2 linked regions of the Notamacropus eugenii genome follow. The protein of the gene in region 2 purifies or fractionates together with the protein of the main gene of each other region. This does not show direct contact. Links are inferred from orthologs where the notes say so. Each region holds a gene or a part of one and is shown on either strand. Other genes may lie near its edges.

Region 1 (3,745 bases), on a different chromosome or scaffold from region 2:
AGTATTAAAGGACGCTAACATTTCTATGACAAGACTGTTTCTCTACAGCATTGGCAAAACGTGCTTTCTTTAGTTTTCCACATATACAGAAAACCATTTAACTCAACTTTAACCTTGGGGTAGGTTATAGTTTATTACACTACAGACATGCATTCTAAACAGAGTTTTGCCTAATTTTAGAGTGTCTCTAATTGACCAGAGGAGTTACGAATTTTCAAAGAAAAATTTACTTTAGTGTAGGTTATCAACTTCCCTAAAGTTAAAGAGTAATAAGATTTCACAACTCTAAAAAGTCTGATCTACAAAATCAGACCTGACCTAAAAGAGAAGGAAAAAAATTTTTAGCATAGAGCTCAATATGGTTTATTTAGGAAGTTGTAGCAGGAAGACTATTATTAATGTATACTTCATAATAGAAATCCGAAAATAGGGTAATTTGTTCAAATTCTGAAGATCATGAAATATTTACATTGTTCCCTTAAAAAAGGGGTTAGTATATAGGGATTCATCCCTTTATATCTTAAATTAAGTTCTTACCAAATCCTTTGTTGAAAATATCTCTTGCAGCTTTGCCAAGGTCAGCATATGAAGGAGGAATACACATTGCTGGTAAAAAAAGAAAAAAAAACACATACTATTAATTCTTTTCCTTCTTCCACCCAATTCCTGTACAAAGAATATACAGGAGCAGTAAACCTACAATAATGGTTAACTCTCTACTGGCTCTTGAAAATATAAGCATTAGTATACTCCACTGAAATTTAGTTTTTCCGACTTTTCCCCCCTAAATTAGGATTTAAAATCCTAATTCGATTGAATGCTGGGGCTGCTCATCGTTCTCAAACCATACCTTATTTCAGAATAAAAGGGTTGAAGGTAACTACCAAAAAATGTTTAAAATTCCCCAGAAGTTATTATGGATGTGCAAGCTCCTAAATTTAGTAAATATTTATTGTATTTTTCTGCCAGAAAAACTTTCAGGTTATTCTATCTGCAAACGGCTATTTGTGCATTGTTACACAGTAAGTAAAAGGACCACAAAACTGCACGGTTCCAACAAAATGAACAAGAGCAAATCTTAATGGGAGGCTGATCCAACTCCCTTACCTGGCTTAGGTCAAAACTAGGTTGAGGGAAGCAGGGAAATGGATGGAAGGTAGAAAAGACAGACCAGGACGACTCAAGGGATTCTCATTACTTTCAGAAAAGACCAGCTCAGTTTCACATTGACGAGTTCCTGCGGATAACTAAATATGGCAGGAGAGCTAACACTACAGCAGAAAATCTAAGCATTCGAGACCTGCCCCTGCACCCACCCACCCACCCATCCATCCATTCATTCCAAGAGGCAGGTCCACGCCCTTCCTCAGACTTTGAATGACCTTGTGCTCTCACAGGGGGGACTTTCCACTCCCTACAGAAAAATTTCTCGCGTCTTACTGGTCTACCCAACTCTTCGCTATTTCATGCACATTTAACTGAAAAAACCCCACCCCACCCGTCTTCCCTGTTAGTCTCCCGAGGTCCCCTAAGAAGCATAGCACGGTACGTGACAAAGCAAAGAGCCTTAGTCAGCCCCAGCTCCATGTGCACCCCCACCCCGGCCCTTCCACAGGCTCCATGGGGGGCCGGCGGGGGACCGCTTCCGGGTTCATCTACGCCCCCTGCACCCCTTGGGGGCCCCCAGCGAGCGGTAACGTCCGAAGATGCACAGAGCACTTCCGTAGGATTAGCCACAGTCAGGGAAGACGGCCGACCCGGAGCCCCTAACTCGCCTGCTCCAAAGCGCTTCCAGGGGTGCAGAGCGCGTCTGGCCATGCCCTCGCCCGGACTCTGGGAGAAGACCCCCAACCCCCGGGGCCCGGGCCCAGCCCCACTTACACGGACGCTCACAATCCTGCAGGTACGACGACATGGCGATGCCGAGCGGAGGATTGACCTGCGGGGAAGGACGAGAGAAGCGGCGTCGGAGCAGGCCGGGAGGCAGCTCGGGGCGGGGCGGGGCAGGGCGGGGCCGAGGTCGCGGGGGCGCCTCAGGCCGCTCCCGCCCCCCCGACCGGTGCGGCCATCTTGGGGAGTACGGCCCGGGCCGGCGCGGCCCGCGGACGCCTTAGGCTGCGGGCCTGCGGGCCGGCCCGGGCGGGCTTGGGGCGGGGCGGCCATACCTGGAAGTCGGGTTAGGGTCGCCGGCGTTCCGCTAGCTGCTTGGGCCGATGGCCGCGCTCGCGTCCGGGGGTAGCTGCCGCTGCTGGAGGGCGAAGTGAAGGAGACACCACCGTTCCGCCCGCCAGGACCCCGCCGCGGCCCCCTGCGGCTGCCCGCCGCGCCGGCCCCCAACCGCGGCCGCCCTGCGACCGTTCCGACCACCGGGAGACCTCCCTCCCGGCCCGAGAACCCGCCGCTCCTGCTCGGGGAGGGCCGCGTCTGCCTCGGTTTCTCGGATACCCGGAGAGCGCGGAGACGGCGATCAGGCAGCGGCGAGGGCAGCCCCAATGCAGAGGGGGCGGGGAACGGCGGGGGCCGCGGCGCGAGGAGCGGGGCGGGGCCGGAGCGCGCCTAGGGGGAGGGCGGGGCCGGGGCCTTTACGAGCCCCCGAGGCCCGCCTCCCCTTCCGCCCGCTCCCCGCCCCCACACCCCCCCCTCGCCGCCTGGTAGTCTATCTGCACGTAGGGCAGGTCTCCCCTGGCGAGCGCTCGTGGTGGGGCGGGGCTCCCCAACCCTTCCGCCTCCCCGGGAGCCCCGCCACTCTCCCTGCAATCACGTGGTGGGGAGAGCGTGTCCTCCGTCCTAGAGAGCCGGGTTCGAATCCAGCGTCTGGGGCCTGTGTGATCCTCGTTCTTTCGTCTGACTGGAGCGCTATTTACGTAATACTTTTTATTCTAGCTTTCAACGGAACCCCAATAACAGTCCTAATAAGCATGGCTGGCATGGCCCTAGCGCTCTCCGCGTGGGCGCAGCGCGCCTGTTATCTCACAGGATCCCCTCCACCGCCCGGGGAAGTGGGTGCTTCCTTCAGGCCCATTTTGCGGATGAAGAGATGGAGGCCCAGAAAGTCCTCGTGACTTCCGGGGGGGCGGTTGTCGCCCTGAATTGGCGTCAGCTCTCCAGATTTAGAATGGAGGCGGGCGGGTCCCTGGGTTCTGTTTACTTTACACTCCTGGGCCTGTTTCCTCAGCCTCACCTGAAGTGGACTGGGCTTTCACCGGCTGGCACAACCTCCCCCGAGGCCCAGGACCCACCCAGGCGGGCCCGCACCTAGTAACTTTGTGACCACTACCACTGTTAATCACTGCGCGGGCCGCCGAAGGGAAAGGGCGTCCAGCTTATCTTTAAATGTCCGGGGTGGGACCTCCCCCCCAGGTTCTGTGCCTGCTCCACCCTGAGACCCTCCCACGGCAGCCTCTCCCTGAACGGGAACTCGGGTTGATTCTTTAGGGTACCTGCCTTGGGGGCGCCCCAGAGCTCCCGATGCCTCCTTTGCCCTCCTGCCCTGCTTAACCAAGGATAGGAATAACAGCTTACTTTTAAACTGGGCCATAAGGTTTGCAAAGCATTTTACATACTTTATCCCAGTTGAGCCTCTCAACTCATTTTACAGATGTGGAAACTGAGGCTGAATGACTCGCCTTAGGGTCACCTAGCTAATAGGTGTCTGAAACCCGGCTCTAATTAGGTCTCCAACTGCCTTGCCAAGGCTCCTGTACCTCTATATCTAGCTGCTCTGGCCTGAGAGTCCAGGTCCACC
Region 2 (3,745 bases):
TTAAACAGCAACAAACCCCAACATAACAGTGGGTATACACAGCATGGGAAAGGTGGTCTTATTAAACAACCACTTTCATAGATAGTGATTACTACCAGGAGTGTTACATTGGACAACAGGAACCCTTAGTATGAGTCGGGAGACTGCCCTCACCATTATATAAAGCAGAGTTGACAACTCCTCCTACAACAGCTAAGCCCAGGCCAAACTTGCCAACAGCTTCAAACAGCTTAGCAGCCATGTCTCCTTCAGATGGTCTTGGTCTTCTGCTCTCTCAGACCTAAAGGGAGAAAACAAAAGGCTAGCCTGGCCCATACATTCCCTAGTGAAAACTCATTCCCAACCACTGAATTCATCTTCTAATCAGGGTAAGATTTCTATCTTCTTGAAGGTTCTGCTCATCCTTAGCTAAACAGGTTAACACCCTAGAAAGCCTTAAAAATTCCATGAATTATGGTTCCTCTGCTTTCATGTTCAGTTACAAACACTTGATGACAGGGGTAGGGGCTGAGATTGGTTTGGGAAAGGTAGTTCACTAGGAAGGGCATCGTACACCTACGGTCAGTCATGGGGCTGGTCTTCAACACCATTTAACTTCACACTGTTAAAGTTCCTTCCTCCTTGACAAATCAAAAACAGATTCTAGTGGTCACAGTGGGGATGGGGTGAGAGTATGGGGAATTCATCAAAAACCATTCCAGTATTTTAAAAAGAGAAGATCAATGTGCAATGCCATGCTGACTGTAGGGCTATCAACACCATTTTCCTCTATGGAGAATGTCATGTTATTAGAGAAAGGAAAGACTGGACAGAAAAGTCCTCTGGATGGATGCCAGCATGACAGTGGAGCATGGGGGGAAAAGTGAGAAGTAGGAATAGATTCTTGGAAAGCTAGGAAAGTTTCTCAGAGATCAAAAGAAATTAACTAGACCTCAGAAACCAGAAATCTCACTTAACTGTAGAGATCATCTCATTTTTTTCCTCCCCTCAATACTATATAACTCCCTCCCTTCCATGGGTTAAGAGCACACATTTTCTAACTATAGGGCACAAGGATAAGACAGGACCTATAACTCCAGTGTAATAAGCAACGGTTCTTTTTAATATAATGGACCCTTTTGGAAATCTGGTAAAGCCCATGGGTCAAAATGTTCATTGCCTACATTCATAATAAAAGAAAATGATAAAATTTCAGTTTGAGATTAATGAAAATAAAGATGTAAATTTTTTTTCTTATTCAAGCTCACAGACCCTGTGTAAAATTACCCTTGGATGGCAAGTTCAAGAATGCCTGGTATAGTGTAAGGAAACTTCCAGCAATGCAGGTTGGCACCTTCTCTGCAACTTGCCTAGAGCACTGGGAAATTAGGTGACTGGTCCAGGGACACAAGCCAGCATGTATCAGAGAAAGAATTTAAAGATGATCGTCCTGGCTTTGAAACCTTTCTATCCACTCTGAATCGGTACATCTAAAAACACCTCGAAGACAAAAGTAACTTCAATTCCTCATTTACAGATAAGTTAACTGAGAACCAAAGGATTCAAGCTATGCCTGATTCAGAATTCAAGTCTTTTTCACTAACACTAGGTTACCAACCTTCAAATTCTAGTTGCCTCCTAGGAGTCCCCTTCCACTCCCATGTCTCTACCATTTCCTTTTTCCCATCTTCCCCATTATCACACTAAGCTTGGCCTCCCCCCTCCATTCTTGCTCTTTCCCTCTCAGCCTCCCCCTCCATTCTTTCCCTCCCTCAGCTTCCCCCCTCCATTCTTGCTCTCTCCCTCTCCCCTCCAATCTTTCCCTCTCTCAGCCTCCTCCCTCCATTTTTTCTCTTTCCCTCCCCCTCCATTCTTGCTCTTTCCCTCTCTCAGTCTGCCCGCTCCATTCCTCCCCGCCCCCAGCCTCCTCCTCTACTCTTTCCCTCCCTCAGACTCTTCACACTTCCTCTCATTCTGGCTCTCAGCTCCTCTACTCTCCTCTCCTTCCTCAACTACCTCCTCTTTTCCTCGAGCCCCCTCCCCTCAATATCCCACGGGAACGCGCGAGAGTGGGGCACGACAACACAGTTATCAAAGGCCCAAACCCTTAGCTCACCAGACACAACTCTGACCTCCACATGAATTCCCCAACCCTACTTACTGCGCCTGCGTCGGGTCTCGCCTTCCCTTCACCGCCCCCTCCTGAAGGACCTTTCCTCCTGTTGGCTAATAGGAAAGTGGCGCCTTCTGGGATTGGTGGTTCAAGACTGGTCCTGAGCCCCTATTCTTCTAATGAGAGGGAACTACAACTCCCGGTATGCCTCGCTGCTTTTAAGCTGGTGAAGAAAATCCTTTTCTATTGGACGGTTGAAGTTGGCCCCAAAGGCTGCTGGGGTTGTAGTTCACCTGGAATGACTACACGTGCCGCCGGAAGCGTCTACTGCGTCCTTGCCTTAGGGGAAGGTAACCTCTGGGCTGTTTCGGACTCGTTTTGGTTGTGTCCAACCTTTCGTGACACCATTTGGGATTTTTTAGGCAAAGGTATTGGAGTGGTTTGCCATTTCTTTCTCCAGCTCATTTTACAGAGAAGGAAACTGAGGCAAACCGAGTTGAATGACTTGCCCAGGGTCACACAGCTAGTAAGTGTTTGAGGCTGGATGTAAACTCAGGAAGATGACTCAGGCCCAGTACTGTACCACGCCACCTAGCGGCCCCTCATGCTGTCCACCTTGCTTGGGTAGTGGGGGTCAAATGCTTCTGCGAACCTTAAGTCCGAAGCAGTGGAGTTGTAGTATTCTTTGGCCATGCGCATAAAGAGTTTCAAAGGCATTCCTGGGTGGGCCTGAGGACCTTCCTGCGCTTTACCGTCTCGTGTATGTGCAGAAGCATGGAGTGTGAGCTGAGGGAGGAAGTCTGTAAGATAAGTTAAGATAGACCAGTGAGTAAAACACGTTGTTACGGCAAGATAAAGGCCAGGTCAGTTACGGGCCAGCTGGCTATCTGGGCGCAAAAGAGGGAAAGCGGGTCCCACGTTGGGAGCCGCAGGCTGCGCCAGGAGCTTGCCACCAGGAGGGCTCAGCGCTGAAGACTGCAGTTCTAGCAAGGCTCCAGAGCAGGGGAGGATCTGGTGGTGTGCTGGATGTATTTCCCCAAAGGCCAGATGGCTGGTCTCCTCCTGGAAGAGAAGGTGAAGGCACTCTGAGGATGCTTCTTCTCTCTGGAGTCTATCAGGGAGGATAAAGTGTTTAAAACAAATGGAAAAAGTCGACCACTCAGAAGACCTTCAATGTGAAAGCACAGAAGAAAGATCTAAATAGTTAGGAGGGAATTCTGACCTATGTCAGGAGGTGGAAGAAGAAAAAAATGGTAACATAGAGAAAAAGGGAAGAAGAAGGACCCCTGAACGGTCTTGAGACTCTTCCTGGAGGGCAGGGAGCTGCGAGCCATTTCTAGGAAGGATATTGTGAAGGAGGTCGGTTGAGGGAGCCTTTGGTGAGGGTCCGAGGAAGAAGAGATGAGTAGTGCTGGTGGGTGCCCCTCCACTGAGGGGACTCACTGAGGGGCTGTTTATGAAACTGGTAATGACAACAGAAGTTTGTCATTTTCCTGGGGCATAGACTTGAGACAGGATGTGTCAAACCAGGTAATTACTACCCACTTTTGATGACCCTAGTGGGTGCCAATAATAACAAAAACAATTGTAGCAGCTGCCATTTATATGGTGCTTACTACGTGTCAGGTACTATGCTAGCGCTCTAAAATTATT

What was found.
Region 1: the proteins of PHB1 (region 2) and VDAC2 purify together in Homo sapiens (affinity purification with mass spectrometry; 4 studies listed by BioGRID, with this or other methods). This does not show direct contact. The link is inferred for Notamacropus eugenii from reciprocal best matches to the Homo sapiens genes PHB1 and VDAC2.

Annotation. Positions count from the first base shown.
Region 1 is NC_092872.1:235,182,362-235,186,106, forward strand, and holds the start of VDAC2 (non-selective voltage-gated ion channel VDAC2), read right to left. Parts: upstream 2,513-3,745; 5' UTR 2,166-2,512; intron 1,940-2,165; 5' UTR 1,916-1,939; coding exon 1,882-1,915; intron 1,248-1,881; exon of another isoform or gene 1,108-1,247; intron 607-1,107; coding exon 538-606; intron 1-537. UniProt on the Homo sapiens protein: Non-selective voltage-gated ion channel that mediates the transport of anions and cations through the mitochondrion outer membrane and plasma membrane.
Region 2 is NC_092873.1:351,427,589-351,431,333, reverse strand, and holds the start of PHB1 (prohibitin 1), read right to left. Parts: upstream 2,274-3,745; 5' UTR 2,141-2,273; exon of another isoform or gene 2,096-2,140; intron 281-2,095; 5' UTR 242-280; coding exon 154-241; intron 1-153.